Drosophila melanogaster: one gene and its partners. The protein of the gene in region 3 interacts with the protein of the main gene of each other region in a pairwise test. Each region holds a gene or a part of one and is shown on either strand. Other genes may lie near its edges.

The links.
Region 1: the proteins of PGAP5 (region 3) and CG5708 interact in a two-hybrid assay, tested with the Drosophila melanogaster proteins (one large-scale study listed by BioGRID).
Region 2: the proteins of PGAP5 (region 3) and Lip3 interact in a two-hybrid assay, tested with the Drosophila melanogaster proteins (one large-scale study listed by BioGRID).
Region 4: the proteins of PGAP5 (region 3) and CycK interact in a two-hybrid assay, tested with the Drosophila melanogaster proteins (one large-scale study listed by BioGRID).

What each region holds. Positions count from the first base shown.
Region 1 is NT_033779.5:10,222,194-10,229,358, forward strand, and holds CG5708 (uncharacterized protein), read right to left. Parts: upstream 4,616-7,165; 5' UTR 4,472-4,615; intron 3,773-4,471; 5' UTR 3,681-3,772; intron 3,619-3,680; 5' UTR 3,558-3,618; coding exon 3,311-3,557; intron 3,240-3,310; coding exon 3,086-3,239; intron 2,957-3,085; coding exon 2,765-2,956; intron 2,700-2,764; coding exon 2,567-2,699; 3' UTR 2,264-2,566; downstream 1-2,263. Other genes in the region: Prosalpha6 (proteasome alpha6 subunit), read left to right, coding at 9-215; Bcs1 chaperone, read left to right, coding at 953-2,248; ova (ovaries absent), read right to left, coding at 5,668-6,933, 6,992-7,153.
Region 2 is NT_033777.3:13,368,134-13,374,836, forward strand, and holds Lip3 (lipase 3), read right to left. Parts: upstream 3,772-6,703; 5' UTR 3,614-3,771; coding exon 3,530-3,613; intron 3,376-3,529; coding exon 2,656-3,375; intron 2,579-2,655; coding exon 2,198-2,578; 3' UTR 2,144-2,197; downstream 1-2,143. Other genes in the region: Dic1 (dicarboxylate carrier 1), read left to right, coding at 1-28, 119-560; CheA87a (chemosensory protein A 87a), read left to right, coding at 1,536-1,766, 1,823-2,143; CG34309 (uncharacterized protein), read left to right, coding at 4,531-4,625, 4,735-4,945; CG9813 (uncharacterized protein), read right to left, coding at 5,764-5,882, 5,946-6,075, 6,146-6,237, 6,314-6,647.
Region 3 is NT_033779.5:8,196,898-8,203,506, forward strand, and holds PGAP5 (Post-GPI attachment to proteins 5), read left to right. Parts: upstream 1-2,055; 5' UTR 2,056-2,145; coding exon 2,146-2,564; intron 2,565-2,631; coding exon 2,632-3,136; intron 3,137-3,204; coding exon 3,205-3,383; coding exon of another isoform or gene 3,384-3,384; exon of another isoform or gene 3,385-3,448; coding exon 3,449-3,458; 3' UTR 3,459-3,755; downstream 3,756-6,609. Other genes in the region: CG8460 (uncharacterized protein), read left to right, coding at 396-668, 735-924, 982-1,185, 1,252-1,651, 1,716-1,857; SLC5A11 (Sodium/solute co-transporter-like 5A11), read right to left, coding at 3,988-4,063, 4,120-4,811, 4,865-5,278, 5,335-5,402, 5,461-5,512, 5,571-5,636, 6,190-6,349, 6,417-6,572. UniProt on the Drosophila melanogaster protein: Metallophosphoesterase.
Region 4 is NT_033779.5:22,121,619-22,132,031, forward strand, and holds CycK (cyclin K), read right to left. Parts: upstream 8,525-10,413; 5' UTR 8,106-8,524; coding exon 6,903-8,105; 3' UTR 3,322-6,902; coding exon of another isoform or gene 3,164-3,321; 3' UTR 2,667-3,163; downstream 1-2,666. Other genes in the region: CG3651 (uncharacterized protein), read left to right, coding at 254-562, 633-2,063, 2,123-2,410, 2,472-2,598, 3,164-3,321.

The DNA of each region.
Region 1 (7,165 bases), 2.0 Mb from region 3:
TCTTGCAGGACATCACTGTGGCCATCGTCGGCAAAGACCAGCCATTCACAATTCTCTCTAATAAAGACAGCGCCAAGCATGTGGCGATTGCCAAAGAGAATGACAATGATACGCCCAGGAACGACGATGACGATGATCGCCCATCCCCCCCAGAGGAACCAGCAGCCGGACCACGCGACCCAGAAGTCCTGGTTGCAACCGAGCAGCGTCCATAGGCATTTATAGGGCTATGAAAGCATCTTAACCATTAAAAATGTAAGATTCAAGGATACAATAAAATTGTTCATGCATTTGCATAGATCCTAAAACGGAACAAACTGAATAAATGAATACAAAAAATCAATGTTATGGGTAAAATTTTTTGATTTTAATTTTAAACCTTCATTTATTATTTATTTATAGTATTTATTAAATATTGGTTTTTCGATATAAGTTTTCCCAACTTATTTGCATTTTTCCGATTTCACAGTTCGGTCACACTGTTGGATTAAAAATATTTATCAATGCCGGTATTGAAACATTTCTACTATAAAAAAATGTTGATTGCTTTTAGTGAATGACAAGTTATCCTCTAAGATGGTTTTTATGCCAAATAAAATGTGCCACTTCAGCGGCAACTTGTATATTTATTTGCTCACACCTAAATTACAATTAATTACATAACGAGAGTGATGGCAAATGGTTGATTTAAATAATAAAATTACATGGTTTTCTCATGAGAAAATAAAATTGTTGGTGCCTTTGCTGAAGCGCACGTAAACAGTATATGTTAGACTTCAGTTTTATTTGTTTAAAAAGTTGCTTCGAAAAGATGTACCATTGTTTACAGGAGGAACCCATGTTTTGGATGATAGATTAAGCAACAGGTGTTGTTTTATAGGGTTTTATTGCCGAAAAAGAGTAAAACACTTTAATTAAACGTTGATCCTTGTTCTCGGTTTTTGCAGACAAGATGACTTTGCCCGATCTTGTAGCTGGACTTTCGTCAAATCCCTACTTTGGTGCCGGTTTTGGACTATTTGGTGTGGGCGCCGCTGCTGCCATATTGCGCAAGGGCCTCCAGGGCGGAGTGATACTGTTCCGGCGGCACTGCATGATTACCCTGGAGGTGCCGTGTCGGGACAAATCCTATCAGTGGCTGTTAAAATGGATTACGATCAGAGGAGCGCGAAAAACGCAACACTTGAGCGTGGAGACAAACTTTGTGCAGAACGACAATGGCACAATCAAAACCAGCTATGACTTCATACCCAGCATAGGCAAGCATCTGTTCCAGTACAAGGGCAATTGGATTCAGGTGGAGCGGACCAGGGAACAACAGACATTGGACCTTCACATGGGTGTTCCTTGGGAGACAGTGACGCTTACAGCGTTTGGTAACAATAAAGGTATATATTTCGATATCCTCGAAGAGGCTAGGCAGCTGGCTCTGGAGGCCACAGAGGGCAAAACCGTGCTGTACACAGCGATGGGTGCGGAATGGAGACCCTTCGGACATCCGCGCAGAAGGCGTCCCACTGGATCGGTGGTGCTGGATCGCGGAACTTCGCAGCGAATCATTGCCGACTGCCAGGACTTCATTAAGAGCTCTCTGTGGTATACGCAACGTGGAATCCCCTACCGAAGAGGCTACCTTCTGTACGGGCCACCTGGTTGTGGCAAGTCTAGCTTTATAACCGCCCTGGCGGGCGAACTGGAGTACAGTGTCTGCCTGCTAAACCTATCCGAAAGAGGCCTCACCGATGATCGACTCAATCATCTCCTGAATGTTGCGCCAGAGCAGAGTATCATTCTGCTGGAGGACATCGACGCAGCATTCGTCTCGCGCGAAGCTACTCCGCAGCAGAAATCCGCCTTTGACGGTCTCAACAGGATAACGTTCAGTGGACTCCTAAATTGCTTGGACGGTGTGGGCTCCACGGAGGCCAGAATTGTCTTCATGACAACAAACTACATTGACCGCCTCGATCCCGCCTTAGTTCGTCCTGGTAGAATCGATTTAAAGGAATACATTGGCTATTGTACGCAATATCAGTTGGAGGAGATGTTCAAGAACTTCTTCGCCAGCAGTGACACCACAAAAGCCGAGGAGTTCGGAAAACGAGTGAATTCCTTTGGACGCTCCGCTAGTCCGGCGCAAATTCAAGGCTTTTTCATGAAGCACAAACTGTCCTCGCCGCAAACTGTTATTGATTCTTGTGAAGATATCTGGGAAAATGTTTTAGATCATAATAAAAAGATTAATTGAATTGTTGTGGATTTTGTTTACTTGAAGCTCTTTAAGACAAGACTGATGTCCCTTTTGGGTCTTAATTAATTAAAACATCTATCAATTTTACTGTCATTCGATATTAGTTTATGTCATTGTTTTCGAATTTATTTCATTTTTCAATGATTTAAGATTATCCATTCGTTTTTATGCATAGTTGCACGTGTAATTCCCAATCGAACTCACCTAAATGAAGGTCTTGTTTTATATTATGATTTAATTACATTTTTATAGGTAATTTAAAAATATGAACTATGTTCTAAAATATATGTATATTTTATGTGACATTAAGTTTGATTAGTCCTTTGATCTTCTGGGCCTACCGACCTTTCCTTTCCTTTGTCCAAGCGTTCCATTCGAGTTGGCGGGGCCCTTAAGTAATTTGTGCCAATCTTGTTCACACACCAAGCTAGCTCCTAACATAGTATACCTGCAAAAAGAAAAAGCAATTCCATTTCAAATTCGCTCTTCACTGCAGTGTGTTGTTAGGCATACCTATCACCAGGACGCAGACTGGATCCACACTTAGCACAACTAAAGCACCTTAGATGAAATACGCAATTAATTATTTGTTTTTGTTGATTTTGTAAATCGATATTATTTATTCCAGTAAGTGCTTTCGCTACCAGTTCACTTGGCGGTATAGTTTCTCCGCAGCCAGAACAAACTCCGGAGCACCCGAACATGCTGGAAAATAAATGTGAACTTGAACACAAGGAACATAATCTAAAGAGTATCTAAATGGTTGACGCCATTAAGTAGGCAACATGTTTTTAAGGAAGCTGAAATAATCTTTTCAGTCGAATGCGTGCGTACCTGGAATAGTCCTTTTTGCAAAGAATCAGGCCTCGCCTCGTAAAACAGCTGGAACCCACTTCTGCTAGCATAGCTCCACAGCAGTGACATTTAAGGCAGCCATTGTGCCAGTATCTGTCCAAAGCGTATAAAAGATATCTATCACTTATTTTATCTGCAAGCGAAACAGAGAAAACGTGAGTTAAGTTATTGTAGCTCATAGATGAATCGATTCAAGGAACTTACCTCCACAACCACCACACACTTTAATAAGGGAGTTGGAATGAATTAACTGCTGATTATTGAAATCGTTTGAAGATTCGTCCATGAACGATAGCTGAGACGATGAGATATTCGAGTTGGTCTCCACAGTGTCCTTTGTGTGGTTTGAGTTTCTATAGTCAATTACTATGGGGGCGAAGTTCTCAGGACTAGATGAGTCTTGGTGATGTGCCGCTAGTATGTCTCTGTATGAATGGAACGTTGCATTCATTGCAAATAATGTTGATGACTTAAGTCGTAGAAGGCATATGGGTCCTGTTTATGGTTTAAACCTGAAAAGTACAGAAACATGTATTGATAGAGGGAAATGTGTTAAATATATTAATAAAATCACCTTTTAACATGTGCAAAAATGAAGCCTAGTCGTGGAACTCCATAATTGCCGTGTTTCTACCATAAACTCAACGCATAAACCACATAAAATATCTAAAATAGGTTTAAAATAATCAATTATTTTTTAAGGAGCAGTGGGCTTACAGATAAATGTTAAGCTTAGTAAGGAAAAATATAAATGCATCTCTTTTAGTACAATTACGCCGATTTTGAAAAAAAATTCAAACTACCATCCAGAATTTTCACTAGAAGGTAATAAAATATTTATTTTATCAATCGATGACAGAACGTGCTATTCACGCCATTTCTCGCCGATTGCGGATGCAAAAATAGCGACAGGCAATCAGCAAAATAAATGACTTTTGGATTTTCGAAAGCGATCCAATTTGAAATTATTTTTGAATCATTGCATTCTGCACAGCTGTCATTACATACAAATTGATTATATACGCACGTACGTACATATGTACATAAGTAAAACACCCAAATGACCATACATACATACACACACTCGCAGCGAACGCTTGCAATGTACGTACATATATGTGTGTATCAAACTGCGGTCTTACGCCGATAGATTAATCAATATTTAATGTTTGTAATTTGCACTGTTCATTACGGCGAACTAAAACTTCAAACTGGCAAACTTGACGTTTATGTACAGAAATACTGATTTGCTGTCAGTGGCACATTTGAGCGAAATTTTGTGTACATATATATGCTGGTATTTGTTTCACTTAATCACTCGACTAAACGGGGTTTTTGTAAACAATAAACACAATATTCACTTACACACTCATCAATTAATTATTTAAAAGCGAAAATTTCTTTGACAACACCATGAGGAACAGTAAAATCGCTTTGGTTTCAAACACCATTTCTTGTATACGACTTTACATACCAAACTAATTCATAGATATGAAAGCAAGCAATCCGCGATTATACAGGGTGCACCGTGTACACTTCCACATTTTAATCGGTCAATTCAGTTATTTGGCTGTATAATATCGCAGTCAGTGATGATGTCTTGGCTTTTTTCTATTTATATTGAGGTTGAATAAGATAAGCAATAAAATAAATTTTTATATTTACCTATGTATTTAAGTTAAAAGAATACCAAATTTATAAGACATTTATCCATCCATTTTATTCATTTTATATATGGATAATCGCTGTGATCACCGATATTTTTCTATTCCGGTGGAAAACATTTATATTTTCGTTTGCGACCGAGAAATTTCATATGATGATAAAATAAACATTTAAAATGTTGTCTTTCATATGTTTTGGCTTACATAAATTGGACTACTGTGGTATTCTTTGAAAGACGTTTTCAGTGAGAATGCATCGAGTGGAACAGTGTGGGAAAGAAACATCTGGGATGGTCTAAATTATATCAAATTCTTCATCCCATCGGAATGAATGGAAAATGCGATATAAAACTAGATATGCCAAACCAAAAGCAGCTGACGCGTACAGCTGAATCGCCTAAAATAGGCGGGGTGATGGTTAACTCTACAAAGGGCCAAGCCCACGTTGGGTTGAGGTACATACCGAAAAGACTGGTTCAAGTATCAATCATGGGATTAATGCTACTTTGTATTAACCCTGACGTCCCCTCTCTTTCTTTAATGACGTAATAAAATTATGATGTGACTCATAACCAAAAAAAATAAGCTTTTGAAGGTCATGTACTATTTACGTGTACTTTATGTCGATGCTTTCAAACAACCAGATCATCGATTAACGCTTCGAACTATGAAGAAAACGGATGGAAAATATGCTGATTACCATCTATACGTGGTAATAGAGATCCCAAAACAGTAGGGTTCCTCTACAGTATGTCTTTTCTTTAAAACGCAGAGAAAATGAATTTAGACATTATATATAAAAGTATTTAAACAAATTATTTATTCATATATGGTAATTCTTAGTTTAGGTTTTCTTGTAAAATAACAATTTCTTAACTTAACTATGGATTAAAATGTCTAAGAAGTTAAATCAATGGAAATTATACGCCCAGTGCCATTGAAAGGCGGAGCCGCGGAAATCGCATCAAACGTACTACTCTCAGTAGTCTGATTTGTAGTGCTTTTTTTCGAATTAGCCGAATGAGCGTACCAGTCTGTGAGTGCGACCAAGTTCTTAGAAAAATTGCAGTTTTCCTGATTGTATTCCTTTCTGTGTCCCTCAGAATCAGCAAAAGTATTCGATGTACTCAGGGAACCAACCAGTGAATGATTGGCTATCGAGTCTACGGTACAGCGACTAATTACTGAATTAGCCTTATAGTTTGAATAAATATATAAAGATTGCTGTAGGGGCTTAACCGAATTATCAACTATTACTGATTCTGGCTCTGGAGCACATTTACTTGGCTCGACGACGCGGCTACTGTACAAATTTCTGTTGTTATGTGTAAGTTTTATTACAGTCAGTGCATCCGAGCCAAGTCTTTTGGGCGAGCCTATTGCTGGCTCTTGTTGCTCATCGTCGTCCGAGGAGCATAAGTCAATTGTATCAACAACAACTTCCTTTGTGGGTGAAATTCTCCAGTGTGAGTTGAGCGAATTGTGGCGCGTTAGTCTTATATTGAGTTTTGTATTTGCAGTGTGATTTTGCTCTTCCATTACGTGTTCGGATATTTTTTTCAATCTGACTGATATTGGACGGCATTGTTTAATCAGCGGAGAGTTCAAAAACAAAAAGTTCTCAGTAGTGTCCCTGCGTTTAACAAATTGACGCCGCGGAAAGGAATATATGTGATAATTGTGTTCATGTGACTTTTTAAATGTACAATGCACTGTAGTGTTTGTTTTTTTTTCAAAATACTTTTGCTTGGTATTTGATTTATTGATCAATGGAGTGTAACAAAAGCGTTCCAGGCGTTCCTGTCTTTCCGCAATATAATCCATTGATATTGTTTGTTTTGTCGATTTTAACAATTGCTGTCCTGCAGGTGATGATATTGGGATAAACGAACACCTACTAAACGAATGAACTGTTCGATTTCTCCGCGATGGTAAACGCCTCTTTCTGTTTGATGTTTCCGTTGATGTTTCTTCGCTGAATGAATATGTTTTCTGTTTCTCTTTAGATAAACTATTATCGGAGAATTTGGGTTGCAGTTTAAAGTTTAAGAGAAAGGCGTTGCGCTGTTCGATATCTTCGTTTTTCCCATCACTTTTGTTATCTGGCTCAGGGGAATCACAAAGTATAACGTCATCCTCCATGCAACAAATGTTTTCGTGTTCCTGTTATGCAATAGAGTTATTAACTATTAACTTTGACAATCTTTGGCAATCAACTTACGAGTATAGCTTCTTTAGAATAAAGTTCGGCATCACAGTTGTCACATAGGTAGATATCAAAAGGTGGTGGCTCAACCATCATATGCTGTACGTTTTCGCTAATGGAACTGTTGTTCTTTTGCAGCAACAAGCACTTTCTGTTCTTTTGTTGTCTATCATATGACTGCAAAATAAC
Region 2 (6,703 bases), on a different chromosome or scaffold from region 3:
TAAAACTACCGCCGCAACAACGACGCAAGTATGTGAAAATTATTTTAATCCTTTAAATAGTAGTTTGCAGGGTAAATCATTTTTGAGGCTTTAAACTTACTGATTTTTTGTATTTCAGCTACAATAATGCCTTCGATGGACTGGTTAGGGTCTACCGCCAGGAGGGATTCAAGCGACTCTTTTCTGGAGCCACCGCAGCGACTGCCCGTGGAATCCTGATGACGATTGGCCAAATTGCATTTTACGACCAGACGAAGATCTACCTGCTGGCCACGCCTTATTTCCAAGACAACCTGGTTACGCACTTCACCGCCTCCCTGGTGGCCGGAACGATAGCCACCACTCTCACCCAACCGTTGGATGTGCTGAAGACGCGGTCCATGAACGCGAAACCCGGCGAGTTCAATGGCCTGTGGGACATCGTGAAGCACACGGCGAAACTGGGTCCCCTCGGCTTCTTTAAGGGCTATGTGCCGGCATTTGTGCGTCTGGGTCCACACACGATCATCACCTTTGTGTTCCTGGAGCAATTGCGTCTCAAGTTTGGCACCTTGAATTAGCCGCGATGCCAATCGATACCTTAACTAGGCAATAATTCTCCTTGGCTGGCTGGCAGATTCCCTTGAGCAATGCAACATTCCAGCAGCAATTCGTTCACCGTGTAGAACATAACTTAGCTTTAGCCCGTTCCAGTTGTTAACCAAGATGCTTTTATGCTAGCAAAATATTTGTTGTTAAGCGTTCAATGCCCGCTATCCCGAAATATATACTTTTTAATAAAATACAGAAATGTATTCATTTACCGTGAATATTAATGCTTAAATAGTGTCGATTTTTTCGCAATTTGCTTGTTTAAAGTAAACATAATATCTTTCCACTGCGTATAACAATATGTATATTTGTACTGGATTTTGAACAAACTTTAAGCTAAGAGCAATTAAACAGAAGGTAGACCATTAAATATATTCTGTGCTAATTGGTGTGGGCATAGAAGGTAAAGGTTGACTCTATCGTACTCCATCGTCATTGTCGTGCTGTTACTAATTATAAATATTTTGTTAACAATGGCTAAGCATTTGTTTGTTGTTGCTTTATGTGTAAAATCGGCCATTCAATAAATAAATAAAAAAAAGGACAAACGGTTTCTACGAAATGTAAATAGTCTTTGTTTTTCTATAAACAAATAAATTAAAATTAATAATGTTATCCCAAGACGTAAGAAGGATTAAAATAAGGTGCTCAGAATTTAAAACAGCTCGATTTTTTTTTTAAATCAGTTAAAAGAAAATGAAGGGTAATAATTATTTCATAGGTGTACCGTCCTTAAAGTGAATTCAATCGTATATTTCGTGATGTTGGCAATTAAATATAACTGTGCAATAGCTTAATAAAACAAAGGGATCGCGTTTTGATATCAATGAACCATTTCTGGGAATAACCGAAACAAGTTCGTTTCCGGTACAAGCGATCATCTATCTAAATCCTTATATACCAATGACAACGAATGATCAGCCATCAGTCGTCAAAGTATCGTAATGGGCTCCTCTTTATGTCCCGTCTCTTATCTGGCGGTCTTGGCAATTATCGTCCTAACCAGTAATATTACAGTCCAGGCTAAAAGGACATTCAGGATCCAGAAATTAGAAAAGGTGACTGAGGATACCTCATATCTGCGCAGTCGTCTGCGTATCGCTGAGTCCGAGGAAAATGAGTTGAAAGTCAGCGGATATCTCGATCTGAATCAACGACTCGACAATGATTGGACGGTACGTAGTTTATAATATATAGTGGAGGAATTAATTATTTATTATTCCTTCAACAGGTTGTGCTTAAGGTTTCAAGATCCCCGGATAGCGATGGAGACTACGAGAAGGTTTTGACATTCGAAATGCAGCTTTGCGACTTTATGAAGAGCTACTACAAGGATATCTTTTACGAACGGATCAAGGAATACTCGAATGCCCCGCATCCCAGCAGCTGTCCTCTGCCCAAGGAACGCTATGTACTAGAGGACTATCCCTTCAATGTCAAGTTGCTCAAAAAGCTGATGAGTCCGGGCTTCTATCGCATAAAGTATACCCTCAAGAATGAAGAGACTAAAATATTATCGTACGTTCTGGATTTGGAGTTGGAGGAGAACTAATCAATCTCGAAATTTGCTAGCTCAAATGCTCCGTTTATTGCCTGAAAAATAAATCTATTCGTAGGATTGCATCTGCTTCAAGACCTCGTCGTAGACGTATTTTCTGGCCTCAGTGCCCCAAATGAAATCCAGATGGGCCCACTTCTCGAACGGCACCAGGTAGTCCAGCGCCATGTTGGGCAGTTCGTCTCTCAACTTGCGGACATCGCTCACATCGCACATCCAGTCATTGGCTCCGTAGTACAATAGAACCGGGGCCTTGGCATTCTTTAGCTTGTAATCCGGAGGGAAGTAGCTGCCGTACTCATAGGGATTACGGAGAGCGGTGTAGTCGAATTTACGGAACTTTCCAGAGTTATATTCCTGACAAAAGTGCAAGTTCTGGTTCACCGATGCGCCAGCCGGAGACGTGGCCTTGATGTGCTCAAGGAGTTCCTGACCAAATGGAGAGCAGCATTATAAGTTACATGGAAATATAATTTATAGGACCAAGTTCATTTCCAGATACTTACGTAGTCCAGCTGTTCGGTATCATAGCCTCCAATCAGGAAGATCTCGTTGGCGCACATGTCGGCATAAGGAGAAGTGGCCTGGCACATCTCTATGCCCAAATCCTGCTTGAACTTATTGCTGGGCATGAACTCCATGGATCCGCAGACCTCCACGATGGCATTGGGCTGGCCCAAAATGGGTGCAAAGGCGCGGGTCAAGGGGCTCTTCATGTTGCCCATATAGGCGGCTGGTCCCAGAAGATGGGCGGACTTGATCTTGTCATTGTACTCGGGTCTCTCCGACACCATCACCAGATAGACAGTGGTACCCTGGGAGTGGCCCACATATTGCACCTGCTGCTGTCCAGTCTTTGCCAAGACATAATCAATCATCGCCGGAACGTCGTACATGCCGATCTCGTTCCAGCTGAAGTTCCAGAAGATCTGCCAGTAAGTGGGCCAGTACTTGTGCGCCTTGGAGTAGGTGTTGCCTCGGGCATTGCCCATCCACACATCGTAGCCGGCATCGGCCAGCATATAGGCCAGGGATCGCTCTGGACCCATGAGCACCCAATCGGAGGAAGAACTCAGCATGCCGTGCATGAGGAAGGCCACCGGTCGGTTGGAAGATTCACCCGTTTTGGGGGAATACGGGATGCGGTGCATAGTCAGGATGTAGTTGTCACTGGTGACCACCTCGTGGCGCTCCATCGGGTAGCCATCGTCTTCAATGCGCTCACCCTACAAAACAATTAAATGTATGCTTATTTTTAATTAATTTTAATTTGTAAATAAAAAGCAATTAAATGGTTTCACTCTGTCAAAAGAAAAACCAAATAATAAATAACAAATATGTAATATTAAATTGTTTTCAAACTCTTAAATTTTTACTTACGCAATCAGAAATAGGCCGAGATCCGGCCAAAACCAGGCCCAATCCGACCAGTAAAATGGTCACTTTTAACGCTCCTCTTGTCATCGCAGTACTATGATCCGTGTGGTTCGGGATCACAGCTTTTATAGCCCCTTGACCACTATCTATCCATTGATAGTCACAAACAATCAGATTTATTGGCAAACGCGTACGAAGACCCCCAAGAAATCAGTTAAATATATATGAGAGTTAGATACACCTGGCCTAATCAGCTTCTTGTTTAGATTGAAATCGCGGGTCTCAAATTTACAATCTAAAGAAACCCAAACACCCCGCCAAAACGACGGATTTTCTTATCGATTTTCAATTATTTTGGTACCCCTTACTTTAAAAAGTCAAGCATATAAAATTTCCATTTATTTCAAGACATTTGCCTTTTAAGAGACCTTTTATTATATCACCAATGGAAATTTATAAAAAAAAAAAATTATACTAAAACATTAATAACAATAGGCTACCCTTAAATTCGGGCACATTAAAAATTGAGAAGAGGGTATTCTGCAGCTCGATCTTTTTAATAAGGCATATAATTTTTATTATTATTTGCAAATACGTAATTCGTTGAAGATAATTGTTAAATATAGAAAATCCGATTGCAAATGAAAACAATAAAATGCCTGAATCACGCCAGCAACATGTTGCTAGTGTCGTCGGCAACATGCAGCACTTATGCAGCAGCAACATGTGCGCACATTAATCCTTATGCGGCCCAGTTAGCACTTTAGCCCGACTTTGTAGCCTGGTCATCAAAATCAGGGCTTGTGTGATATCGATTTATAGAGGCCACACATGATTGGTCTGCCGATGGTGTATAATACACGTATCTCCCGAGCCGGCTGCCCCTGACGACGTGACCATAACATTGGCATTCTTGGCCCGAAGGCATATTACCATATCGCACTTATGACAGTTCAAGCCATAATTCAGTCTAGAGTGGAGCTCATTTTCAAAGGATTTCCAAAATGAAACACCAACAAGTTACGGTGGACTATTGGACCATGTTTAAGACATCGGGATTGTGTCTTTTACTGGCCATTTGCGGATTTGTACTTCTTAAGTAAGGACATTTACTAAACTATTCAATACTCAATACTTAATGCGCAATGTACAAATTTGTAATGTGATCATAATACCTGGCACCTTATAGTACCAATTATTTCTTATAGAATGGTGCAGACCATTTTCTGGCTACCTGGACATCTGAAGAAGAACCAGCAGCGCCTGGAGGATCTGGCCAAAATCTATGCCAAGGATATTAGCGAGGAAGAGAGGGACGAGATCGAGAAACTGTTCAACAGTAAGGAGCCGCTGACTGAAGAACGAATCAACCAGTTGCTCGACAAGCCAGAGACTTCAGAGCCAAAAAAGGAGCAATAGTTAAATAAATTGATTCGCATGTTTTATATATATATATATATATTTATGTATATTGAGTGTATAATCGATAATTTGTTGATACAGGTTCTAGTTCTTACTTGCATATCGTATATGTAACTCGCAACACAATCAATCGTTTAACCAATCCATCAATAATGCCTGTAACGCTCAATTATTCAGGGAGGGGGACAACAAATAGAATAATAACTATTCACGAAAGTCGCTCGTCTGTGGAGCGGTTACAAGTTATATCCATATTAGCTACTGATATAGGCGGACTCAGAGCCCTTTCCTGCTTCAAATCGGTCGTTTCTGGTGGCCCATCGATTTTGCCAGCGACCTCGACATCTCAACCTCGGAATGTATCTAACTAACAAACTCATATCAAATATAAGCAAGTGCGCCAATTCGTATGCATATCGACATATGGACATATGGACATATACATATAGATAGTCTATATTAATTTTAAAAGCTCAAAGGGGCGCAAGTCTCTCTCATCAGTTGTGTCTTTAGTTTTTTTGATTTGGTTTGGTGATACCTGCATCTGCCGCCGACTCCACCTGACCACAAAATATCACTTGAGTATCTTTTGCTATATTACACGTAGGCTAATCCGTAAACGAAGGTGAAAGGTGCCAATCGATCGGATGAACTTAATTAGGTCGAGTTGGATCGAAGATCCGAGAGAGCGCCTCCCCAGAGTAGCGCCGATCAGTGGGTATATGCTTGCCATTTAGCTGATGCGAATTATGCGGGTTAACATATATATATTTATAGGGGTTTCTATTAATCTGAGATGGCCGCCCAATGTGTCTTTATTGGCTAGGGGCGTGTATTGGAAGCCTGTAAAATGGGTTGGCCAGATTAACCCGCGCCGCCGGCAGAAACTCCGGATGTTCGGTCAGGGTGTCCGACAATGCGCTCAGCAAAACTCCTGGAAAAATTAAAAAATACAAATGAATTTTACGCCTTTTCATAGGTAATACTGGTTACTTACTTAAAACCTTCTTTTGCAAGTCGATGGGTATGACACCCATGTTACCCTCGCGCTCTAGAAATTCCGTAAGCTTCTGCAGCTCCATTTGGGCCTCATCGGAGCCATGCGAAAGCGATTGAGCAAACATTACCTGGGCACAACAAAAAAAAAACAGCAATTATTTAATATTTAAGTTTGTGTGTTATTAATCACTGTTATACCTTTGCCAGTTTGTAAAGGATCTCCTCCAGGGAGTATTCATTGTACAAGTACTCGACAATCTTGGCCCGACCCTCATCATAGTCATTCAAATCTGTTAGTGGAACAACATGTTGGTTAAGATATGTTTCTATCTCTATATAAGATTTGGTATATGATCCTAATCCCACCTTGCTGTGCCTCGCTGTCCAAAACTTTGAGTTTGTTCCAGAAGGTGAAGCTATCGAAGCTCTTCGCGGGCAGGACTCCTGCGGCGCCTCGCTCGATTCCTGATTCCGAACCGGATTCGTGCACTGCTGGGAATGGCTTTTCTGTGGTTGTGGTGGTGCTTGTTGTCGTCGTGGTCGTAGTGGATGCTGGGGGCGTGGTAATGGCGGGACTGTGGCGCTTTAACTGATTCTGGCGAACCTCTTCGGGGAAAATTCGATTGGCATAGGACCGCTGCAAGAACTCTATTCCCAGCCGAATGTCCTGCAGGAACTTCAGGGCGCTCTCCCGAGTGATCTACAAAAAAGTATTGATGTGAGTGCATTTCTTTGTCTTATTAAGTTGAATCTTTA
Region 3 (6,609 bases):
CAGCTGAGCAGCTTTTCATTGCGATCTGGCAATGCTCTAAGCTAAAATCGATTGTTGAAGACCAATCGTTAAAGGCAGAGCGGGTGATTTAAATCGGATGCGCAATTTAAGAAACATATTAAGTTCTCGTTATTGTTTGAAGTTGAAATAATTCGGTGATATAATTTTAAGCTTATAAATAATAAAATAAAATATATCAAATATAATGTTAAGTCAAGTCCAAGTAATAATTTCTGAAGCACACTGCTATTTACCAATTTAGGGTGACCATTTAGAGTGTCTGATGCCGTTTGCCGTTTAGTGTACGCTATGGTCACTTTGCTGCCGGCTTTTTTTTTGTATGCGATTTGTTTTTGTGCGATTTATGCTGTGGTCCTGATTGTCCTTCTGTCGAAATGCGTGCGCCTGATGCGCTCCTGCTCCGCGTCGCTCTCCTGCTTCTACTGCTGACCACCGTCCGCGGAACCCTCGCCCCGGACAGCCACAAATCGAAGAGCAAGACCAAGGAGAGTGCTCTGCGTGGCGGTCCGCAAGACCAAGATGTTTTCGATCTGGGCTTGGTTAGTCCCGAGCCCCTGGCCAAGGATATCGTGAGCAATCATCGCGGGTACTTCAAGGAGACGGGATTGCGACGCTTCAATGGCACCACCTTGGGCTATGTGACTCCAGTAAGCAGAGGACGTACTCCCACATTTTGTGCATGTGTATTAATCTATTGTTTGCTTTGCTTGTAGTGGAACTCGCATGGCTATGATGTGGCTAAGATATTTGCCAAGAAGTTCGACATTATCTCGCCGGTTTGGCTGCAGATTGTTAAGCAGGGAGATCGTTATGCCGTAGCCGGAACCCATGACATCGATGCGGGTTGGCTAACCGATGTCCGGAGAAAGGGTAAACAGGTGCACAATCAGCGAACGGTTAAAGGTATGAGAAAATGATACCCGCTGGCGTTAGTCTAAACTCACTTTCCTTGGATTTCAGTGTTTCCCCGTTTTATATTCGATCACTTCACTGATCGGGACATTAAGCTCTTGCTTAGCGACGCCCAGGAGAGGACGAAAGTCAACGACGTGCTGATCAAGTGCTGCAAGGATAATGGCTTCGATGGACTCGTCCTGGAGGTGTGGTCCCAGCTAGCTGGACGCATAGATGACAAAATTCTGTACACACTGGTTTTGCAAATGGGTGAGCTTAATGCGTTGTAACCCTTTGTTTGTTATTAATAATTTAAATTTCTTTTACGTCACTTAGCCAAAGAACTACAAAAGCAACAGCTGCGACTCATTTTGGTCATTCCTCCATTCCGCAAGGAAACAGGCCACCTTTTTGGAGAAAAGCACATGGACAAGCTGTTCAAGCACATATACGCCTTCTCTCTGATGACTTACGACTTCTCCAGCGTGCAGCGTCCCGGAGCAAATGCACCATTATATTTCGTCCGTAAGGCTGTGGAGACAATAGCTCCAGAAGGTTGCGCTGATATGACGGCTAAGAGGGCTAAAATTCTGTTGGGACTGAATATGTACGGGAATGATTACACGCCCGATGGAGGTGGACCCATCACCTTCTCCCAGTACTTGGATCTAGTCAGGCATGTGAAGAAGCACCTAACTTACGATGAGCGGGATGTGGAAAATTTCTTTGAAATCAAGTGAGTTTTCTACTGCAGCGTATGCAGAGTGTAAGGCGAAGATGATGAATATCATTACTTTCAGAAACGATGACGGTCGCCACATTGTCTTTTATCCCACTCTCTATTCCATAAACGAGCGAATAAAGCTCGCCCAGGAACTGGGCACTGGCATTTCAATCTGGGAACTTGGCCAAGGCCTAAACTATTTTTACGATCTCTTCTAGTTAGCCTGTAAGCAGCATGCAATGCACAATACCTATTCCAAATAAAGGAAATTATATATAAGCCATAATGCTTCATAATTTTTCCAATTTACAATTTTAGTAACCAACTTTGAAATGAGGCGCCAATTTGTTAGTCAACCGACAGCCGCTTGACAGCACTGTTTAATTTATCGAATATTTTAAATTTATATCGGGCCGTTTACTCGTTTAAAACGATACTATCGCTGATGGTTTTTCAGCTCTAGAATAAATTTGTTATTATTTTTTTAGCCGGTGAGAAATCCTGAAATGCGCTTTCTTTATGCCTGCTTTGTGATCGTGCTGTGCGCCCTGATCTTCTGCGAATATGTGGCGGACTTTGTGGTGCTGCAAAAGTGCAAGTGGCCGGAGATAAAGCGAAAGAAGTATGTGGACGATCCGCTTAGGGCAATGATTCTAGCGGATCCGCATCTGCTGGGACCGCATCGTGGTCACTGGCTGGACAAGCTCTACCGGGAGTGGCACATGACGCGGGCCTTTCAGGCGGCATCACGTCTGTTCCAGCCCGACGTGGTCTTCGTCTTGGGCGATTTGTTCGACGAGGGCGACATGGTCAGCGACAAGCAGTTCCAGGAATATGTGTGGCGCTACCTGAAGATGTTCCACCTACCACCGGGAATTCCGCTCATCAGTGTCGCGGGAAATCATGACGTGGGCTTCCATTACAAGTAAGTCAATAAGAGACTATGTGTATTCCCTGATATTTGTTAAACCGCGCTCTTGTGTGTTTTCCAGAATGCATCCCTTCTTTATGTCGCGTTTTGAGAGTTATCTGAACAACTCCTCGGTCAATTTGTACACCATTAAACAAATCCATTTTGTGGTGATAAATTCGATGGCTATGGAAGGTGATGGTTGCATGTTTTGCACCCAGGCCGAGGATCAGTTGAAAAACATTTCGAGGACTTTGTACTGCATGAAGTATCCACTAGAGGCGGAGTGCGCTCGCACCAGGCGGCACCCGTACAGCCAGCCAATTCTATTGCAGCACTTTCCCACCTACCGCATTTCGGATACCATGTGCGAGGAGCACGATGCTCCGTACATCGAGGCGTTCCGAGAGCGGTTTCATGTGCTCTCCAAGGATGCCACGGATATGCTGGGAGAGCTGCTTAAGCCAAGGCTGGCATTCGCCGGTCATTCACATCACTTCTGTCACAGTGTAAATCGACTGGGCATCGATGAGTACACGGTGGCCTCATTCAGCTGGCGAAACAAAGTTAATCCCAGCTTTATGCTGGTGAGTATTATATTTGCTCTTACGATTGTTAGCCCTTCGAACTTGTACTAACATGCCATAACTTTTAGGCCACTATAACCCCCGATGACTATGTGGTTTCCAAGTGCAAAATGCTGCCACAGCAGTTTGTCTTCAATAGCTATCTGAGTGCTGGCATTCTTTGCCTAATTGTCATCGGGTTCCAGCTACGAAAGTGCATCCAAAGCAGAAGACAGTCGTCGGCTGTAGATCATCGGAAGGTTAATTAGTATGTATAAGCATGCCTATACAAGGCATATCCTCTTTTGTGATTTACGCCTGATTGGGGCTTAGTTTAGACTAGATACGCCAGATTCCAGACTCAGATCCCAGATCCAGATCCAGACAGAGGTCATATCATTCCTGCTGCTTTGCAACCGCTTAACTATATTCTAGGTGTACAAAATTCGGATAGTATGTATGATCTATTTATTGAATTTATCACAGACATTATGCTTGTAAAGTCAAACGGAATACATAATGAGACACAGTCTGCTGACTACAAATCGAAAATGCCAAAAAAATAATGCTTGAACAAAGGCTGGAAAGTAAAGAACGGATACAAACAGAACAATTAAATAAAGCTATATTATAATACATTTACTATATAACGTTAATGATTGTGCACTCTGTATTCTGAGATGCAGATTCATAGGTTCCTGTACTTCGGTTTATGTCTTCCAATATCTGGATCACATTGTACTAGACTAGGCTATCTATAAGGTAACTACCACAAAGCAACTACAACTACAAACTATGCTAACAAAACAGGGTGTGGAATTCAATGCCATCAATTCCATTAGTTTGGCACAGGAAGTTCTGGTTCGTCTATTTTAGGATACGTTTAAGAGGTTTTTGTGCGCCTGCGCATGGAGATTGCGACCACTAAAGCATTCTTTTGGAAGGAATCTAGAAGAAAAAATGGGTTTAATAACAGAGGTTAAACATGTGGTTACAAAAATTACCTGTGAATCACTGGTGATATTAGATCCGGATCTAGTGTTTTCATATTTGTGGGTTTGGTCACAAGGGAGACTAGTGCACCTACCACAATGACTGTGGCCACACCAATGGGATTTATCCAGTGGTAGGACAGTCGGTACAGTGGAAAAACTTGCTCCTCATCTACCCATATATTTTCCCGAAGCGTTACATTGCCCACACATCCCTCCACGGATACGGGAAGCTTTTGAGAATTCAATTCACCCGCTGCGATGGTAAACTGCGTTCCAAAGGATATCCACCCGGCGAGCAGAGCACTTGCAATTCCGCCCACAGCAGTGCCTACAGTATTGGCCCAGGGAACGAGCATTCCCAGGGTAAACAGGCCAAAAGTGGTTCCAGCTGCGATGGCCGTCATTGAAGTGCAAATGCTCAGGATTCCACTCAGTTGTTCCAGGACAAATACCAGTGATAGGGCCACAAAGCCAAGAACTATAACAGTTGACTTTACCAGAATGGTGGAGGCTCTTTCACTTGGTTGCATCTTGAAGCAGCCGCGAACTATATCCTCCAGGATTACCAAGGACGTTGAGTTCAGAACCACAGAAAGGGAGCTCAAGGCAGCTCCAAATATGCCGGCTATAAACAAACCAGACATACCATAGATATGACCCACACTCTGAACGACAAAGAGCGGCAGTAGCTGATCGTCGTGCTGCAAGGAAATAAACGTAAGTAAAGTTCAAAAACAATTTATTATTTACTCACTGTTATTAGTCCCGCACTCAGAGGATCACAATCTTTGTACATCTCATAGATTAGCAGTCCCACATAACAACAAACAGAGACGAAGGCAGCCACGCCAATTGTAAAAATGGCCATGGAAGCACGAGCCTTCTTGAGCGATGGAAGAGACATGTATCGCTGGACCATGGTCTGGTTGACGGCATTGAATGAGGTCCAGTAGGAGAATCCCCCGATTAGGACGCTCCAAACAGTGTGCCTTACATAAGGCGATGGGTTTGTATTGTTAAAGATCAATCGGCCACCTTTGGCAGCATCATCGAAAAGGACATTCAAGCCATTTGCATAGACAGTGGCCAAAATAGCCACAGCAAGAACGGAAAGGAACATGACCAGCACCTGCCAAGCATCTGTGTGGACCACTGCTTTGATTCCTCCCTGAAAATAGGCGCCATTAGTATAAAAACATACGTATGAAACTCTCTAAAACTTACGACAAAGGTGTAGAAAACACACACGACCACAATTACCACTGCAATCACATGGAGATTAATGCCCGATACTGCAAGATTATCGAAAGATTAAAGTTGTGTTTCAAACAATTAACAAATGCGGCTTACCCTGATTCAGAGCTATAGCTGGTACATACACAATGAAAGGCAGAAACAGAATCTAAAATTGGATCGACAATTATTACAACATTGCAGTCCAAATATTATCTTTGACTTACCTCATCCAGAATAAACATAAAGGATGCAATACTTCGTACGACCGAATGAAAGCGCATCTCCAAGTACTGAAAGCAATATTATATTTCATAATTCAAATGACTTGCGTTTAGGATTCGAAAACTAACGTCATAAAGACCGAAAACGAAAACTAATTGCTCGACACAATTGTCAAGTGGCAGAAAACCACATTGCAATTAATCATATCGAACCGCTGGAACCCAGAAAAAAGTCGCAACAAGTGGGCGAGTGCAAAGTCCAAGAAATTCCACTTGAGGGGAGGGTGGTCTCCGATTCCCAGTTAATTAAAGTGTTCACTACGTCCTCCGTTCATTGATTGGACAAAAGTGACGGAGCGAAAGGGGGAAGACGGAAACATCTTAGAAAGTTTGTCATTCTTATCAGCAACCACTACAGATGAACTTGTCTATCTTTATTTTAACTAACTCGTCATTGAAAGAAATGGTGAGTATTTTATAGCTAAATTAATATTTCCGTTAAAACCCAATTTACATTTTTGGTTGCGTTCTGGACGTTATTACTTTTACTGTTAGCATAAGCTTATTGACCCATTAGATTGTAAATGTATAAATCAGTTTATAGAATTTACGAGTATCGTACCTCATAGGAAGAGCCTACTTGAAGAGCCGAGAACACTGGTATGTAGACGTAGGAGACGGCAATACCTTGGAGCATTATTGCTATGGCTATAAACCAATATTGCGTGCCATAATTGTAGATCTCAGAGGTTGTGCCCAGTATGGTAACGCCCGATATATAGCTGGAAATAAAAGGGAACAGATTGTACAGGCATATTTGGAGGTGCGGGATCGCATCGCCAACTCTACCTGGCTATCAGGCTCATGGCAACGGGGAAAACTTTCAGATTGCGTGACCCTAGCAGATACTCGCTCATCTTCTCCGATCCGAAATCGTGTTTCCGCCTTTTTGGCGTGGTCGTCGGCAGAGTGGGTTCCGCCTCCTCGAGCTTCACCTTGCTCTTCCTGTAATTACAACAATTGTTTGGCAATATTCCGAGGA
Region 4 (10,413 bases), about 14 Mb from region 3:
CCTTTTTATCCTCTTCCGTTGCAGCGAAAACTTATTATACAAGAATAAAGAATCCGCATAATCTTTTTACTGAAACAATTAGCTTTAAATTAGTTGCCTTGCATTTTATCATTGAAATTGTTAACGTTCACGCATCAATTGGGCTGTGTGAATAGGTCGCATAATTGTTTTGGCATTAATTATTTTAAGAGGCTGTCGACGGTTTTTTTTTACCGTTATGCCATCTGGTAACACTGCCCAGGCCGCAAATGGAATGGATTTTCGAGAGCTAGATAAATTAAACTGGCGTTTGCATCTGAGTAACAATAACAATATCGTTAATTATAGTGCGAACCGACACCTCGGTCCTGATGCGGCTGAAGAGCGACGCCCGGAGCTCTTAGTCAGCCAAGTCAATTGTGGGACCGGTGTAAATACAATGGGCACAAATCAAAAACGAGCAGCAACAACATCAGCGCAGGCCGTAGCGGTGGACGAGCAGGTCGTGGGAGCCGTGGGTGGTGGCGGGGCAAAGGCAGAGGAGTGCCCTGCAGCGACCATGGCCGCAGAGGATGGTGATAAGGCAAGTGACTGCCGCTTTAAGCACAAAAAATTATGTTGATTATGTTATGTTCTGTTTATCCTTTAAAAAGGTGGAAAGTCCTTCTTACTGCGAACTGGATCTGGACGTGGCAAGCTACGGGCTAGCAGCAGCTGCCCTCTCATCCTTTGAAGCCGCCGCCTGTGGCTATAATTCCAGCCGAACTTCCATAAACAACTCAACCGAAAACCTGAGCTATGCCAGTGACAATATTTACGGCGACGATATAATTTTGCTGGACGACAACGACATGAACGCGGAGGAGATATCTATCAACTCCGACGACTGCGTCTACGCTTACCGTGGTGAAGGGGCTGATTTTGACATGAACATGGATATCATCGCCACGGGAAGGGTTGGCGGGCAACACTTCGACCTTGGCCGAGGACCAGTGAATGCTATGGGAGGCGATAGCCTCATTTACGGCGAAGATGAGACGGAGTTTCTTGAAATGGACTTTGAGCCAGACCCCTCATCAGAGTTGGAGCTTGTTGGCGGAACCACCGATATGACCATCCAGCCTCAGGCCAATTTGTTGTTAATGCAACGCGACTATAGCCAAATGAACAGCATAGGCGGAACTACTTCTACGCAGGAAGGAAAGCTGCACAGCTCGCCCATAGATGATTTTCCGCAGGAGGACCTAATGCAGCAGCAAAAGCTACGCCTTAGTAAGAAGTTCGCGCGCATCAGCTTGAATTTAGATAAAATCAAAGACGTTGGTGCTGGTGGAAGTGGCGTGGACATAGATTTAAATGAGCTAATAGTTATTGGCTCGGAAAAGCAGGCTGAATCCTCCGGAAGCTTTCGGTCAGTGAAGTCTTATCAGGCTCATTCCTTGCCCAACACATTGCACACAGGCTCAAATTTTTCGCGCAGCACTAGTGTCCCCAGCGAACACCCAGAGCCTAAGCTGACTGGTGCTAAGCCAAAGCGTTTTTTGCACACCTCGTCTGTGATGACTAAAAGCTCCTCATATAAGTCGCGGCGCTCTCATACATCAGCTAGCTTTGATGAACGTTGCTACAGCTGCACTGATTTCCGGGCAACAACATGTCAGCAGCAACAGTCAGGGTCGAAGTCAAAGCAAGATCAAGTGCCTCCTATACTGGTGGCTCCTGCGACTGTTGGGGCTTTGACCACGTCTTCTTCGTGCACGGGCCAATTTGACTTGGGAATAACCGAGGAGAACTGCTTAGACTGCCTAGAAAAGGAGTTCTTGGCCAATACCATAGGCAAAGTCGTAGACCCGGGAACATGTCCTAAGTGTCGTAGATCAGCTGGCAGTCGGGGCAGTAGTATTTCGCTTTACTCACGGTCGGACCAGGTTCGCTGTCGAAGCGGGTCCCCAGTATACTGCTATGGAGGTCCGTTCGCCGGCTGGCACAGCTTAATAGCAACCGGAATTGTTTCTGGTTCCAATTTGGGTCCACCCTGCAACCAAAGGTTTATTTCGTGTGATAATAGTTTCAACGGTCTACAGGTATGTAAACGCATGCTATAATAATTGTGTATAATGAATTTACCCGCTCTCGCGAATAGCTCCTCAATCAAGGCTATCTGACTGAGCCACTGGTGGCAAGTCTGTCTACAGGAAAGACGTGCGACGAGGAGCACCTAGTGCAAGCGCTAGATAAACTGCGCGTACCCTATGACAGGGAGCTACTTCATGGCTATTTCAAGCAATTGGCCAAGCGGCGACGGACGGAAAGTAGTGTCAATCTCAAGCAGCTATTAATACAGGCCTCAAAGCAGCAGGGAAACCATCGCAAGCTCAAACGGTTGATCGAGATGGCGACCCACCAACAGCTTATTGTACAATTTAAGGGGGTAAAATCAAATACATATTGTACACACTTTTTTAAACTAATGCAACACATTTTTCAAACAGAAAGCTGCAGACAAAACTGAATGGGTGCCTATAAATGTAAGGGACATACTTAATGCCTGGGCACGTTGTCGAGATCTTTCCCTCCTTCAGCAACTAGATGACCGCTTTCATTGCGCAAACGTGATGGGTAAGATGTTCTATAGAGTTGTTTTTTCATAGTTTGTATATAAAAGTTTTACTCGGTATTGATATATTACATATTTACATATTCAGTAAGAAAAATGTTTTCTAATCATAAAATAGAACGCTATAGTCGGCTTCGCCGATTTTAAGATACCCGTTACTCAGCTAGTAGAAATGCGATCGCGAAATTTCATAATTTTTCTGGAATATCGATAGATATACAAATATATATATATGGATTAGTAAGTATTGTTACCCCTGACACAGAGACACTAAACAAGTTCTTTTCTTTAATTGTAAACTAATGAAATTTTGCCAATATACGCAAGAGGGAAGCAATTTGACCTTAATTAGGCTAGTCCGTGAGACTACATAATTGCTACCCTAAGAACTTTAGGGAAGTCAATTAATGACGAGAGAATCTTATAGTCGATTTATTCAAATTTCAGATTTCCGTTACTTAGCCAGTGGGCGTAACAATTTTTGTAAGGTTAACGCAGAATACAAGTCATTTCAAATTGTATTAAATTGTTATTTTTTTTTACAAAATAACATTCTATTTTTTTCAGGAAAGGTTGGTCACATCGTGCGTCAGGCAACAGTAGCAGCATCCACACAAGCACAGGCATCGTCGTCAACCTCCTTTTGTAAACGCACCCTGCCCGAATATTTAATGATCCCGCAGTATTACATGAGTGGGGTACTGACTCTAACCCGCAAATGTTAGGACGTATTTGCACAACCACTCATTTATTTTCACATTAAGCCGGATACACATCATCTCTCTAGAAGTGCTTAGCCCAGTTTTATTGTTTAATTTTTTTTAATAAGTCATCTTCCATATTAAATCAGGTGATCGCATGGCCGTGACCCACCGCTTAAGTCGGGTTCAAAAGTCTCTCCGCTCTAAAAAAAAAAGAAAATAAAGAAACTCAAAGTTTAGTTGGTGTTTAAAGCTCAAAAATGTTTTCTATGTAGGCCATAATATACAGGTATCAATACAAATATATGTATCTGCCTCGCCTATCAACGCCTTATATTGTAATGTGCATATTTGTTTACGGAATACGTAATACATATGTATGTATGTACATATGTACATATACATATGTAATTATACCCGTTACTTGTAGAGTAGAAAGGTATACTAGAGTCGTTGAAACATATGTAACAGGTACATAGTTTTCCGGTCATATAAGGGAAATATATAGCATTCTCTCTTGTTTTGTTATTCGAATTTTGCATTAGATTGTTTTGCTAGCGAGTGAGCGCCATGCGTTAGAAATAATTGTGACACAGAAGCCTATTTAAAACAAACATGGCCAGCAAGGGTAACATAAGGTCACAGTTTTTTAATTGTTTGACAGCAAGAATTTTTAACGACTGCAATCCAAGTGCTTAAACTTTTCTCATAAGGCTGGCTGTGTTCTGCACGTCGTTCAAGGGCCGTGACGCAACATAATTGCTACTGCAGATTTTTGGATAATATAAATAAAAATAATATAATAAAAAACATTTTCTAACTCAACTCATCTCAGTTGATCATCATCTTCCTGAATTCTTCTTTCGTCTTCGTTGTTACCCGCCTTTCGTTTTTAATCTTACTTTAGCGTTATATATATATACATGTCTGAAAACAAAACAGTATGAGATACACACCACACATATATTGGAAAAAATATTTCTCGGATTGGTGGGCCAGCTCAAAGACAGGAAAAAGGCTCTACATTCGAATTAAGACAATCAGAATTTTATTATACTCTATGCTTTTTATAAGAAAGGGATCTTGCAAGCGGTTTATAACTACATTGAATTAGCTGATAAGTTTCTACTAAGAGTTCCCTGCGTATAGAACGACATATTTCTTGCTGGTCCAAATTTTTGTGTTGCTTTAAAACTCACAAGTTAGTTTCTAGCACGTATGAATGTCACTGTTACTTTACAACGAATCTAGTATACTCTCTCTATACGAGTCACGCGTATAGTTAGTAAGCCGGCTACTAAAAAACAAATCAAGAATTTCTGCTGTTTTAAATTTAAAATTCAATCTTCTTTAATTACTTATTTAACACTTCAACGGCCAGGAGAATGTTATTTTTCAGGTAAAAGTGTTAGTCCAACACGGACTATCGTTTTTCAGGTCGTGAACGACTTACTGGCATAAACATGTTCTGTCCAGTTGGCTATATAGCATTACCACTTACCCAAAATTTGTTGTCTTACACAATTCTGTTGGCATAAGCATATTATGTGAATCTTAACTCTTACTCTTAAGTACTGTTAGATTTACTCAATAAAATTAGTTGGAGTATTGACAAGTACGATCTTAATTTATTCCCTTCGACAGAGGTGGTCCTATATCATAACGACTTGAAGACTTGAACTGTACAGAACTGTATGCCAGGCATACTAGTAGAGCACAAACAAATGCAAACTTTTAATCCAGTCAGAACTGGCTTTTGTCTTTCACAAGGTCGACAAACGTGTAGATCCCTTGACAAAAACTCAGCTTCATTGGAAGTACCATAGCATTCTGGCGAAAAACATCAACGGAAGACCTTTCCTGCAACATATATGGCAATAAGTGGGTAGTGATCAGAACACAATGTAAATTTTAGTCTAATAGATTATGCCCTAGCTTTAAACCTTAATATATAATATAAAACTTTCCTTTTCCTATTGCACTATTTATTTAGATGTGTTATTTAGCCCTTGATAAAACGGCAATAAGTAATACTCTAAAGCTTATTCATATTCTTCATATTGATATTTATATAATATTTTATTATTTCTGAGAAATTATTTCTGCATTGAAAAATTTATGTATAACCGCAAAAATATTTTGTTAATTTTTTCGTGTTTTACCACTATATTTGCAATTGTTATAAAAATGAAGTATCCGAATACCTGGTCTAAATATAGCCAACTTACGGTAAAGCAACACTAGAATAATACCAAACTAAAATTATTTTGTTTAGTTAATTTATAAATTACTAAAATTATCATAGTGTCTTTGGTGAAATAGAGGTCCTTGGACCTAGAGCGCGGGAGAACTAAAAGTCAGCTAGATCTTTTAGCGAAAAGATCGAGACGTTTGTAACGAAGCAAGTCAACGAACTGAGACAAAGTAGTTGATGTTTCGAAAGCAGAGCGCGGTAAGTATCACATCAAAGAGCCTGGTTTCAGAGAAATCGACTTTATAAAATTTGAAAGATAAAAGGAAATTAATTATTTTTAACACCATTTAAAAATTAAATTAAATTGAAGAACATCGAACAAAGTCAATAATATTATTTTCGAACATTTTCGTCTTTAGCCTGGAAAACGAAACCGTTGGCCTACGACATAATTATATTTATAATAAACATACGAATCGAGGTAGCCTGGGCAGTCGTTATTATTCCAAGTGTACCATGGGCAAGAATAAAGTCCATGGAAACTGCAAAACTGCACTGTTGTTTCTGATAGCCGAGCAATCTTCGCACACTATGTATCATTCCAAAAATTATTCAAACATCTAAAGAGTTATTATACCCATTAATCGTAGAGTAAAAGGTGCAAGATTCGTTGTAAGTATGTATGTAACAGGCAGAAGGAAGCGTTTCCGACCATATAAAGTATATATATTCTTGATCAGGATCAATAGTCGAGTCGATCTGGCCATATCTGACTTTCCGACTGTCCGTCTGTCCGTATGAACGTCGAGATCTCATGAACTATAAAAGCTAGATGGTTGAGATTAAGCATACAGTTTGCGGAGACACATAGCGCCACACTATTTAAAAATTTTTAGATTTTTCTTCGTTTTATTGTTTGACTTGCCAATTTTTATCTGCATACCAAAAACACTGGCCACGCCCCTCCTTTTACATACAAAACCCCCAAAACTGCCACGCCCACACTTTTGAAAAATTGTTCTCACATATTTCTCATGTTTATCTTCCACTGTTATAAACTTCGCCGTTACTCCAATTCCGCTTTGTCTCAACGTTTCGCCAATTTTAATAAGAATCTATTTTTGTTAGTGCCCCAATGTCCAAAATATTTTTTTCTAGTTCATTTGGTTTTATTCAGTTTTGGAAACATCATTTCAGCAAAATTCTGCTAACAAGTACATGTGAAAGGGTAAGGACTTAAAATAAGGGAATAAAAATCATTGATAAATACCCCGGGACAATATTGGGCCTAGAGTGTAACCAAAAAAGAAAACCGAACCGTACGAAGATCCCCGCTCTAAATCCTATTCCGAACGGTTCGCTAGTTTTAATATACAAATTTTTTTTACTTGTTTATTAGTCATTGCATCTACTAGTAGCGCTGCTGCGATGGACGCCCACCGGCGTTGTAGTATCCACTGGCTCCTGGAGGCAAGCTAGGCGGCATTGGTGGTGGTGGTGCAGCGCTCCCGCTATAGTGTCCGACCACTGTCTGCTGGACTCCCCATCCGGAAGAGGGGTACGGCGGCATAGGCACTACCGGCGGGGGCGGCGGTGGAGGAGCATGATAAATGTGGTACCCGGATGGCTGACCTGGTGGTGTTGGGCCCTGTAACAGGTTCTGGGAGTCGCTAGGACCAATGATTGGCACGCCACTGGCTAGGGATTTAATGCTCTGAATGTTGCTAACTTCCAGCACGCCACCGTTGCCACATACGGGGGGCGGCGGCTGTTGTGGAACGGAAAGTGGTCCAATACCCGTAGAATTGGTAAGCTTGCCGGATTTTGGACTGTCGGCTCTGCTTGGTGGCTTTTGGGGCGGACTGGTTGGCTGGAGCGCTTCTTTTTGGGTTGATTGGTACAGGTCCAGAACTTGGTGGCAGATGTCTTCGAGTATTTCCATCGTTACATCAGACACAAACATATCCCACCAACGCTGCTGCTGTGGCTGGCGGCCCTCCCAGTCTTGCACAGTGAATTTGCTTAGCTTGCTGGCCAAATGGATAAGAGCCACGGCGATAATCTCCGGCTCCCACTGTAGACAAACTACTGTGCTGAGAGAGTCGTTGACGAAGTTCCACGCCATTTGCACCATCTTTTGCAGCTTCTGCTGGTCGCCTTTGAAACACTTAGCGTACTTTAGGAGAAAGGTGTAAGGATGCTCTACTTGCAAATCGAATTTGATGGTCTGCAGCAGAATACGCTCTAGCGTCATCACCTCCTCCTTAGGGTCGTCGCCAAACGAGTAGAAGTAATTGTCGGTAAGGATGCCACGCGCAGTTTTAATAATGTCGCGACACTTCTTTGGCGTCTCCTCCACCTTGCCAGCAAAGAACAGGCAGCAGCACGCAGTCACGTACCGGGGGAAACTCCGGAACGAATGAAACATGTAAAATCGGTGAAAATATACAACGCCGGTGGCCATCGTGTTGTGGCCCAAGCCCATTTTGGTGCCACATTCCATAATAAATCGAGCACCTTCTTTTCTGTACCGCCGCTCCGTTTCGAAGCTTATTCCATCCAAGATCGAGGGCGTCTCCCGCAGCTCCTTTTTGTCGTAATACCAGCACGGCATCGCGGCAATTTAGGCTGCGGGTACTACCAGTAGTCCGCGTCGTTGGAAGGAATTTGTGTTAAACCTTTAGCCAAATGGTTGTCAGCATATGCGCGTCCTGGAGCCGATAAGCGCTTTTGTTTATTGTAAATAAATCAGTTTTCGATTTTTATGTTCACTTGCAGTGTTACCATGTCTACGACGATGAAGAAAAAAACTTTATTGGAAGCCCCTTTTACACCAAGACCACGACGATTTTGAGTATATGGAACAACTTTATTGGTAAATAGATAACGCAAAAATTTTCGATCTCTTGCGGGTCAAACTGAATATTTTTTGTGCGTTTGCTAGTTTTGGTGACTTAATTTTGGGATATAATTAAACAGATATATTTACACGTGGTTTTGGCCGTCCTTTGACTGTTACGAGGAACAAATGGGATGTTTACACTGGAATCGCATTTCCATGTTTTGGAGATATCAAACCAAGCATAGGGATTAGTGATGGGAATTGCGCAATTTGTTTTGTTGTTAAATGGTATATTGAAATAATTCATTATGTATAATCCTACTGGATAACAAGTATTTCAATTTAAAGCATAGATAGCATTCGTTAAACATTATAAAATGTAATAACAAGATTATGAGCAGTGTAAGCGCTTTCTATTTAATAGTAATTACTTCTAGTAATGTGGTGATGAATTTATTATAACCGTTAGTCGTATTTTCGTATTCCGACCATTTAAGGTATATATATTCTTGATCAGGACCAATATCCTAGTCGATCTGACTATAATTTAATTAGTCTTTTTAATTTCTATCGATTTGTCAATAAAATTTTTGCCACGCGCACTCTAACGCCCTAATGCCACACTTTGGAACAATTTTGAAATTTTTTATCATTTTATATCCCATTATCTATCGATATTCCATAAAATTGATGCAATTTCGCGTTTGTATTCACACTAGCTGGTAACGGTTATTTGATAGCCTTGGAACTCGACTATAGTATTCTTTCTTTTATTATTAATATAAACGCGAGTGATGGCACTATAATTTTATTATGTTTCTATATTTTTTATGTTTCTATAATGTGTGTTAAATTCTTAAAAATCGATATATATCACTCAAATTACATAATAATGGAAAACCGAAACGTGAGCTTGATAGAGCGAAACAACCAAATCAGTCGAGATGCTTCTTTTTAACGTAGAAAATGTTATGTATATTTTTCTTTGAATCATGCACTTAGGCTAGTGAACATATTTTCAAACCTTACCGCTCAAGTGATCATTGACTTAAATAAAATTTTACAAAACTCAAAGAACATCCAGCAGCACGCAGACACGTATCAGGGGAAACTCAAGAATGAATGAAACACGTAAAATCGGTGAAAATATACAACGCCGGTGGGGATCGTATTGTTTTAATAATATTATATTTTTTAATGAAGTACAGATAATATGGAATTGACTTTGATTGAATTTAAAAATGTATATTAAAATTTATCAGTGATAACAAACATTTTATATTTCTTTCACCAAGTGATTCAGTATATGTATACAATTCTAGTATTTTAACTTCTATTTAACGAGCACTTAGGGAATGTGAATTTCCGTCATTCGACTGCGCCAATTGCATGCTAAGTATTTGGTTGCGGTTAACAACCAAGGCCGGAGTACCCCCAACGTTGAAAACTATCTACGTCTCACAAGACAAGCAATTACGATCTCGAACTTCAAAAAGGTAAACAAACCCAAATGTTGTGCAAATTCTAACGTTTGATCACCCCTGATCGCAGATTCCGTCTATGCGGATTGTGTTGTTATCCTGGGAAAGCTACAAATACCGCGTATAAATTTGCTATATTCGTAATTGGGTTCGAAGCTAAGCGATGCCCAGCCTACCAGTTCGGCGTACACGGAAGGATTCCCAATTGGAGAACGATGACGATCTTGGTCGTATTGCCCAAATTTATCCCACCTATGCTACACTCAGGTAGATATTTTTGGATCAGCCGCAAATTTCCTGGCTTGGCTATGTCAAATGACTTAATCGACATTTGATTTCACGGTTTTATTTATACGGACATACATACATGTATTTCATATTTTAAAATATACATATTTGCCTTATTTAAAAAATAATAATTAATGCTTACTGACTAGTACCTTCCGATTTTGTTTAAAATAAACACGTAATTATTATCTCCTAAAACTAGTGCAGGCTCACAATTACCACCTGCCTTTCAAAAATGACTTAAAGATAAAGAAATGTGAAAAATTCATTTACTCACTAATTTGAAACTTAAACTAATAATATACACACAT